3 linked regions of the Bombyx mori genome follow. The protein of the gene in region 1 purifies or fractionates together with the protein of each later gene. This does not show direct contact. Links are inferred from orthologs where the notes say so. Each region holds a gene or a part of one and is shown in the gene's direction. Other genes may lie near its edges.

Region 1 (3,109 bases):
TAAAGCGAGAGTTGAAAATTCTTCAAGAAGATTCCCCAGTTCACGATGCACCATCTCTTTTGCAGACAACATGTGCTCTGGTTGGCGAAAGCCATTTCTGAGTGTTGGGTGCAGATATGTGGATATTTAGGTCACAGTCCTCATTTCGTACGCTAAAAGTCTACCAACCATATTGTGGTTATTGCACTGTAGTTTTTAAATGTAATGCACGGTAATTTGATTCTGAAAGACGGTTTTTTTTTATATTTGTAGCTTGTATATTTGATCTGGTAGCACTGGTATGAACTGTAAATGTAAAGCGTAAAAAACCGGTATTCTTAAATAAAAACCGGTATTTATCGGTATGTATAAAAACCGGTTTTTCTCCGGTTTTCTTCGAACCGGTTTACATCCCTACTACCTATAAATGAAATTAGCAAAGTTACGCTTTCAAGGCTACCAAGGCAAGTACATGATTATTAATAATAGCTTCAAACATTATCAATTTATCGGGAAAACAATTTGTGATGATTTATACATTGTTTGCAAATGCCTGTGGCGTTTAAGAACGCACATTTTTATGATGCGTAAGCCGGAACGCACGAGAGATGGGAAAAAGAATATAGTCTGTGAGACGGGACCTTTTTTACCACCAATTTAAAACGAAAATATAATTTATAATGTGTTTAATAACTAATGTAATATAATTACTTAGAATTGTTTATGCCGCTACAACAATAAAATTTCTATTGTTTCAACTGTGGTGTTAATTACATAAAACACGACTTTACGGCGAAATAAAGAAGGGACTCTATATGGATTCCCATATGCCTATTAGATTGATTATGCCTCCAGTTATCTTGTTAATATGGATGAGACAATTGTACAAATGAGACATACAAACAAAGGTGTATTGAAAAGTTTTTGCCCATTATTTATTTTTAAATTTTTTGTTCTCACAAAAACTAATCGAGGAACAAGCCGAGAATCTGAATCTTTAATTCAGAACGTGCATGGCTGCATGGGTATCAATTAATAACAGTTTAAACTGGAACAATGATTATTAGGTAGTATAAAATAGAAATGAAAAATAGGTATATTATTTGAAACAAATCCTTGATCGTTCGACTATAGTAGAATGTCATTTGTGCCAGTATAGACCATAGACAATTAAAAAGTTTTTCCACCATTTTGTTTCTTTACTCTATTCCTTTTCGTCATATGGCGTAGTAGTTGTTCGAATCGGTCCGCCATATTAAATGAAATCAATAAAATAAGACAAAATGTCGCCTTACTAGTGCGCGGAAAGTAATCCAATAACATCTAAATATTGTGTGATTAAATCATCAAGAGGATCACAATGGAGAATTCCTACGGTGTGGGAGTAGTGAACAGATACGCTCTTTTCTTGGACGATGAGACCGATCCTCTTGATGCGTTAAAAGCGCGAGAGCAGGCGAAGGAGCTCAAAAAGAAGACCAAAGAAGCCGAAAAAGAGAACAAAGGCAAGCCTGAACCCAAGCCCGCTAAAGGCGTAACCGTTCCCACCCGGAAGGGCATTAAGGAAACTCAAAATGTGAAGTCTCAAGACATCAAAAGTGGAGAACAACAGAAGGGTAAGGGACCTGCACGCCCGGTCGATCGTAATGTTGAGCGTCCGCCTCCGCGTCGTCGTGAAGATCGGCCGCAGAACGGTACCGCAGAAAACAAGGAAGGAGCTCCGCGGCCACCGAGACGCGAGTTCGGCGATCGTCGGCCTAACTTCAACGAGCGCCGCAATTTCAACGACAACAACCAGGACGGTGCAGAGCGTCGCGGTCCACCAAGACCACCGCGTGAGCCTCGTGAGGGACCGCGCGGGCCGCGTTCTTTTGACAATAGAGGCAAACGTGAGTTCGACCGAAGATCCGGCTCTGACAAAACCGGTGTGAAATCAGTCGACAAGAGGGAGGGCGCAGGTCCCCACAACTGGGGCACGATCAAGGACGATCTCGACGAGTTGAACAAAACCGGTTCTGAGGGTGAAACTACTGAAGAGAAGGCTCCTGAAGCCGGCGCTGGCGATGGACAAGTGCCTGAAACTGAACGTGCAGTGCCCGCTGAGGAAGAACCGCGTGAGTTGACACTCGATGAATACAAGGCTTTACGCAACGCGCAACGCACCGCTCCGCAGTACAATTTGAGGAAGGCAGGTGAGGGTGAAGACTTGAGCCAGTGGAAAAACCTGGTTCTGTTGGAACGCAAGAAGGAAGGTGACCGTGGTGATGATGAGGAAACTGACGAGGAATACGATCTGGCCGACTATCCACAGCGCGTGGGTCGCCAGAAGCGTTTGTTGGGCATTGAGTTCACATTTAGTGACGGTGCGAGGCGCGGCGGTGTGGGCGGGCGAGGCCGCGGACGGGGCCGGGGTCGCGGACGAGGAGTGCCGCGCGAGGAGCCGCCGGTCGTGGAGGAGCGCCCGGTACAGCGTCACCACGTGACGCCGCCGAAGGTCGACGACAGCAAGGATTTCCCCTCTCTCAGCTAGACTCGCAGTGAGTCTAGATTCTTCTCCCTTTCGAAGCTAGAGTTACAAATTATAATGTATGTACTGTTATTTTTGAAGTAAATATACAATATATTTACAAGAGTGTGTATTGTATTACATTGAAATCAGTCTACGTAGTTATTGGCTCTAAATTTTGTGAGTTGATTATAACTTGCAACGCTGCCTGGGGATTGACATGTTTCTGTGGAAAGGAGTAAAGGGGGAGGATTCGTCTTGTTTAAGTTTTATTTTTTGATACACATACTACTGCTACATACTTATTATTGTGGATTTATAACAATAGCTTTTATTATATTGTAATCACACCAGCTTTTCATTTTACTGGTTGAGTAATCGGTGATAATAAGATTTCAACCTTCAGACTGACGACAAGCTATGGATGAGTTTGAATCTACTCCGTCACAAGTTAGTATAGTATTTTGTGAAGAAATAACCCTTGCATTTTATATCATGAGTTTGTGTTGACAAATGCAGACTGGGAACTGTAAATAGTTATATTTTAAAGATAAGGTCAAAAAGAACAAGGTTAATATTTGTTGTTACACGAACTTCTTGAGTAAATAAACATTTTGTATGTGT
Region 2 (3,500 bases), on another chromosome or scaffold:
CGGTTAATCCACTCCATAGGAGATCTTCCCTATGTGTCTCGTATAAGGTCCAGAATCCTACACTTACAGTATTATATGCGTATCGATATACTGAAGTGACGTTAAAGGTTTTTACACTGTACAGAAATTCTATTTGAATATGAGTCTAGTTGAGGCCGTCAGCGCAAAAGTGGCCTAAGCTTACCATAGTTATTATGGAGCAATGAGGTTTAAGTTTTCATGAATTTGAATTTGAGTAGGCAAAAAAACAATACGCGCAAAAATAATGTTTACATGTTTGACAAAATGGGTAAAACTATGGATAGGCTGGTTTTGCATCAAAATTTATTATATTTTAAATACCAGGTGGGCTGTGAGATCATCCAACCAGCTAAGAAATAAAAAATAAAAATAATAATTGCAATATACAATTATAAACATTATGAAAAATTTTGGGTTAGGCCACTTTTGCGCTGACGGCCTCAATTAAAATAGTGTAAGCAAACATTTCAAGGAAATGTTATACGAATGCGTTGGTTAAATTATAGGAAGGGAGTATGGCAGGCCAACTGTCTTCTGAAACCGGAAGCTCTGAATTCATGGGGCTTCATTGCCATAGAATTGGATCCACGTGGATGTAATTATGAAGACATCGTGTCGAAGGTTTTTATCTTATCTATATATATAAAAATGAATTGCTGTTCGTTAGTCTCGCTAAAACTCGAACGGCTGGACCGATTTGGCTATTTTTGGTCTTAAATTATTTGTGGAAGTCCAAAGAAGGTTTAAAAGGTATATAAATATGAAAATGGTCGCAATTAAATAAAAATAACAATTTTGTTTGTCCTTTGATGTGTCCCCTATCAGGCGGATTCCTTTTGTCTTTTATTTATCGATTGAGGTACTACGAAGTCTGCCGGGTCAGCTAGTTTATTATAAATTATGACATAAAAGAAAGAAAAAAAATGTGTTTAATGTGAAACCGTAGACAACCATAAACAATATTAATGTGTTCCGTAAGTCTAGCTAAGAACGAAGCCCAATAATTTATTTTCATACGCGGAAATCAAGATGTTGTTTAGATGTAGCTTTGAATATTGGTTCCATTTGTGATAGAAATTAGATGCTTAAGAAAAAGTAATATGTAATTCATTTTTATTTTACTTTACAACATTTTTTATTTTACAACTGTAGAAATTTTGTTTTTGTTTTGTGTTCACCCCAAATATAATTAGCAATTAATAATTTAGAAAGGATGCACGCAGCCTATTCAATCCTACTAGCCTATACAAAGTAGTAATGTATTCAAAATACTATTTTTTTGTTATTCCTTAGATGGGTGGACGAGCTCACAGCCCATCTGGAGTTAAGTGGTTTCTGGAGCCCATAGACACCTACAATATAAATGCTCCTACCCACCTTGAGACATAAGATCCAAGGTGGGTGGGACCAACGGCTGCCTCACCCTTCAAACCGAAACACATTATTGCTTCACAGCAGAAATAGGCAGGGCGGTGGTACCCGTGCAGACTCACAAGAGATCCTACCACCAGTAATTACGCAAATTATAATTTTGCGGGTTTGATTTTTATTACACGATGTTATTCCTTCACCGTGGAAGTCAATCGTGAACATTTGTTAAGTAAGTCTTTCATTAGAAAAATTGGTACCCGCCTGAGATTCGAACACCGGTGCATCGCTAAACACGAATGCATCGGACGTCTTATCCTTTAAGCCACGACGACTCTTTATTACATAAAATATTACATAAAAAAACTTCTTTATCTTTTCTTTGCTTCGTCTTAGTATTGGTTAATATAGTACAAAGAAACGTCGGGTTAAAACTGGGGGAGCTAAGATAGTGTTTTAAGTCCGCTATAGACCATTAAAGGATTGATGCGGTTGAACGAGCTCACGGAACGCTGTTGGAGGTTGCTCTGGATACGAATACACTGGACGACCCATTCTTTAGGCCACGACGACTTCATATTCTTAACGGTAACGCGTTTGTGTATGTTTCAGCTAATGAATACCGGTCGACAAATGGGCATGAACGTGACCCAACCAAAGATGGCTTGCTTCAACATCCGTATAAATGACCTGCACAAGAGTATGCTGCACGCTCTAGAAAAACAGGTCAATTTCCTGGTCGTGGTCGTTTCTGGACGGGGCCGCGATTATTATCACAAGGTACCTACGTTATTAGAGTTGCAAATTAAAAAAAAACCAACAATGGATCACAGATAAAATTATTTATATTTTGTAAGCCTGATCGTAGGACGTCTTGAGAGTCCGCACGGGTCCCACCACCATACCTATTTTTGCCGGGAAGCAGTAATGCGTTTCGATTTGAAGGGTGGGGCAGCCGTGGTACTGTAAACACTGAGATCTTAGAACTCAGATCTCAAGGTAGGTTCCGGTATTTACGTTGTAGATATCTATGGGCTCCGGTAACCGCTTAACACCTGCTGGGCCGTGAGCTTGTTCATTAACCTAAGCAATAATAATAATAAAACCGAATCGTTATTAAGCTGTCGCAGTAATGTGATGATCATTTGGCATCTTTGGTGGCCTTGGTTCTTATAATAGGCGTATGTCATTAAAGTTGAACAGTGGGATCGGAGATATTCTGATTGGACTTGCAGAAGATTTCTAAAACGTCCTATTGTTGTAATAATAAATTGAAATCAATTTTTCCACTAAATAAATGGGTGAACGACTTCACGAGACCTGATATTAAATGGTTATCGGAGTCCACACATATTAAGATGTGAATGTCGTCACCCACCTGAGACATGAGGTCTAAGTCTCAATTGCGCATAACGGCTGTCCCCTCAAAACCTATCAAGGTAAGATTGACTTTGATTAATGTATGATATCTTTGAATGCAGCTGAAACAGATTGCCGAACTCAAAGTGGGTATACTGACGCAGTGTATCAAAGAAGATACCGCCACGCGCCGAATGAACCCACAAACAGCTCGGAACATTTTACTAAAGGTAATAAATAAATAGCTCATTCTGTAAATATAAGAATACTCGGCTGACGCTTCTATTAATATTACTACGCCTAATACGAGTTCTACTAACACTAGTACAGAATGATTGTCGTTCGGATTCTTTTGGTAATCTCTCTTTTTCTAATCTCTGTGAAGTCTGTTTTTGGCACTTGGCCTTTTAGGAATTTTATGTATATTAGACTGATATTAATGCGCGTAATACTACTATGCGCGTAATACCACTAGTATTAGTCGCTCCGATATCCGTTTTCGCTATTTGATAATAGATGGCATTGCATTTCTCGAACGTTCTTGATTGTTCTAATTGTTTTGATATCCGTTTCTGCTATTTCATGATAGTCGGCGATACTTGTATCTACATAACAATACCTGTAATCTTACTGAAATATTTAGGTATAAGATATTTGAAAATCTAATATACCTAATATTATTTTAGTTAAATCACTTGTGTTATATATTTTAGGTGAATTCGAAGCTTATGGGAATAAATCAGGCATTGGAG
Region 3 (3,500 bases), on another chromosome or scaffold:
CACATCATTTTGACTAGGTTTCATACTTTGTGGAAGTTCTGAGGTAAAGGAGAAACTTTAGCTCTGTTAATATCTTGTATAGCATGGAACACTTCAGGGAGGAATTGTTTTGGGGGTTCACACTTTCATTTTTACCTAACCATGAGTGCTATAATATGTAAGATCAAAATGATTTTGAATGGAAGAGTGAATAATTAGTCGGACACAAGCATGGCTGATGTTGAGGTTGGGTCGGCAGTAACTATATGGTGTACGTGTGCAGCCTCCACGACATCCACAGCGCGAAGGTGGAGAACGCGCACAAGGAGTTCCAGAAGGCGATCGGCGCCGCGCTCGTCTGGTACGTGCCCGAGCGCGCCGTGCTCGCCGTGCTCTCCCGCTGCGCCTCCTCGCAGCGCCGCGCCACCATGCTGCAGGAGATGCACTTCCGGTACCTCCACACCCCCACCCCACCCCACCCCACCCCACCCCACCCCACTACACTACACTACACTACACTACAGTTGAATATGCTATTTCGAAAAGGGCACATCTCTGAATATATAAAATGTTCAGGAAATGAAAAAAAGTGATTATTTTCTAAAGCAGTGTAAAATTTAAAATATTAACTTTAGAGACATATTTTAGTGTTAATTGGCAATTGAAAATTACTGGAATTATTATAAAATGGGTGTAGGTAAGCCTCAAAACTACATGTATATGAAAAAACCTATTTGACAAAATATGCGACATGTGCCCTTTTCGAAATTTCATATTCAATTATAAATGCTAGCATTACTAGCTTTATTAGTGTGGACGGTCTTAAAACTCATGCCACACGATAAAAGGACATGCTCCGACGATGTCACGTAATATAGGATTAAAGCAAGAAAATGGATACTATTATTATCAATCACTACATGTGATATTTGTGTTATAAAATCTATGGACCGCAGTCGCTCTATAACATGGCGTCCACTGTGATCAACTGTACTTGTCTATGTAAGATAAAAAAAGATGTTTCTCCCGCCTGTCGAAATTATAGCCTAGCCGATAGATGAGCACTTTGTATAAACTCTATTTGGGGTACTTGAGCGATCTGACTATTTGATTGAAATTTCTTTTTATTCGAGACCGCTGAGGTACTTGATGGGGAGTAACCACCATACTTCAGGGCCATTAGCAAATCTAGATCTGCAACCAAGCTGTAAGATAATAGAAATGATATCAGTCAACAGGGCAGTTACTGGTAATACTAACAGTTTAAATTATTCAGCAATGTATAGGTAATATCTTAAATATTAACATCTCTAAACGTAATTCGCGATACCCACATATACCATCAGAATTATCTATCCGGCCATGCATAGCCTCCTCCGACTTATTGAAGGATAGGGATAATGCTGAGAAATATTGACCATACATTGGTTAGTTACTTCACTTGATATTCATGTGTTTGAACTATATGGCCACCTACTCCATATCAGGTCACGATCATCACAACAACCAAATAAACGGGATATCCAAATAATAAAGAGACTTAAAATCTACAATAGGAATAGGTTAGCTTGTAACCTCACATTGGCAATGTTCGTAATTAAACACCGACTAGTACAATCCTTAGAAGCCGAATATGACACATAACTAATTGTAAAAAAAAATACATGTACTTGCCAAATTTTATATTAAGATTTAGTGTCTCGTGTCTTGTTTTAATTGATTGCAGTAGTAATAAAGTTTATTGTGGGACATGTATTGCGCGTTGTGGAAGCGATACCTTTCACTTTTCACGCAATAGTTCGCAGGTTCGGAACTAGGCATGTGCTGATAGATGTAGCATATTTCTTTTTCTTTCTTTTTTCTTCACATTCCTCTAAGTCATGTGAATTTTATCCAACTGCTCAAAGATGGCGGCTCATTGGGAATTGTTTCAAATCTTTGATCGCATTTACCACGTTTTGAATAAACAGATAAATTCATTTCGCTTACAAAAACAAAATCTAACAATTTCTAATTGAAGTAGACCGTAACAGCTGCTACACAATGTTCTTGATTGAAATAGTCATGGAATGCTGTTACACACTAATCTGTAAAAACAGGTATTGCTTTCTTCCATATATAAGAAGTTATAAATTACAAAAAATATTGTAAATCAGTAGATACATACATAAAGTGACTAGGACCAAAAGGATTAATCCTAGGACCAAAAAGGAAATTAGACAATTTAATGCACCGTAAATTCTGACTGAGAATATCTACTCACTGAATCTAATATTTAATATGGCATGGATCGTAGTCATGGTTTGGTTACATGCAAGAAAATAACCAAATGGTTTTGTTTTATATAGTAATAAAATATTAAATTTTAATTTTCAGAAATTTGACCCAGAAACTTATGTTATTGAAGAAAACAGAGGAGGCAGCGAGGCAGCTTGAATCTACGAAAATAAACAATCAGGGCGGGTGAGTCACTACTGTACACGTGCTCTCGTTATGATTCTCGAAAAAATCGTTTTTGTTTAAAAAGTGAGAAACTATTATACTTTCAAACAGTTTAAATAACCTACTGTGAAGTAGGAACCAGAACAAGTTAATTATATTTCTGATACATTCAATATTCAGCATTGAACAAGGATCTCAAGTCAGAAATGTTGACTTGTGGTCCTGTTTTGTTGAACCAATAGACTCAGGCTTATCTCAATATAAGTTTAATGGTTGAACAAAACTGGTGCTAACATTATCTGGAGCCCCCAGGACCGCCGGCCCTTTAGATTGTGCCGAGACGGTAGTATTAGGCTCTCCACATTTTTTACTCTCCTCTTAATTCTCTACATGAGTACACGATCAAAGTACGCACAAATGCAAAAAATGACTACACAACCACAACACTTTGATTACTGACTGTTGACACATTCACCTTTATTAATTAATTAACAATATTTAAATTATTATTTTTGAACAAAACTGAGTTAAACAAAAGGTTGTGTAAGGATGTTTTATTTTCCTTGACATCTGGCGCTTTGAATATTCAAATATAACTATATAATTGTAATATTTCTCTGGAATTAATTAATATACTTTAACTAAATTGCAAAGCACAATTTGTGCAAAATAAATACTAAGAAATTTGCTAAGTCAATTATATATTTTTTCATTAGTTGTTTTTATAATATTCCAAAGGATTGACAAAGGACAAAGGATTGCAGTAGAAATTTTTCTCAATTTAATTTCTTGGCTTTAGAACAAGTAATGATTATTTTATAATTTCTGCTGGTTAGAATTTTACACTGGTGTGTCATGTAGGACCACCATTTGGTTGATTTCTTGGTCTATTTGGTAATAATGGTAATTAATATCCGAAAGGCCAAATGCTCAAGTTCTTTCTGAATTTTATTTTAAAATATTTCTAACTTCGAGCTTGTGTGTATTTGTTTTTAACATCTCCTCAGTATGTTTGTGGTACACAATAAAAATGAAATTACAGGATAATATAAAAATTGAAAGTTTGACTAACTGCACAC

Evidence for each region. The genes of interacting proteins can lie anywhere in the genome.
Region 2: the proteins of VIG (region 1) and Ago2 purify together in Drosophila melanogaster (affinity purification with western blotting; 3 studies listed by BioGRID, with this or other methods). This does not show direct contact. The link is inferred for Bombyx mori from reciprocal best matches to the Drosophila melanogaster genes vig and AGO2.
Region 3: the proteins of VIG (region 1) and RNA-binding protein FXR1 purify together in Drosophila melanogaster (affinity purification with western blotting; 4 studies listed by BioGRID, with this or other methods). This does not show direct contact. The link is inferred for Bombyx mori from reciprocal best matches to the Drosophila melanogaster genes vig and Fmr1.

The regions. Positions count from the first base shown.
Region 1 is NC_085116.1:3,010,764-3,013,872, forward strand, and holds VIG (plasminogen activator inhibitor 1 RNA-binding protein-like), read left to right. Parts: upstream 1-1,339; coding exon 1,340-2,509; 3' UTR 2,510-2,609; downstream 2,610-3,109.
Region 2 is NC_085118.1:6,279,253-6,282,752, reverse strand, and holds part of Ago2 (argonaute 2), read left to right. Parts: intron 1-527; coding exon 528-642; intron 643-2,001; coding exon 2,002-2,169; intron 2,170-2,870; coding exon 2,871-2,978; intron 2,979-3,461; coding exon 3,462-3,500. UniProt on the Drosophila melanogaster protein: Essential for RNA interference (RNAi); double-stranded RNA induces potent and specific gene silencing.
Region 3 is NC_085112.1:15,603,504-15,607,003, reverse strand, and holds part of RNA-binding protein FXR1, read left to right. Parts: intron 1-262; coding exon 263-430; intron 431-2,355; coding exon 2,356-2,442; intron 2,443-3,500. UniProt on the Drosophila melanogaster protein: Polyribosome-associated RNA-binding protein that plays a role in neuronal development and synaptic plasticity through the regulation of protein synthesis of mRNAs.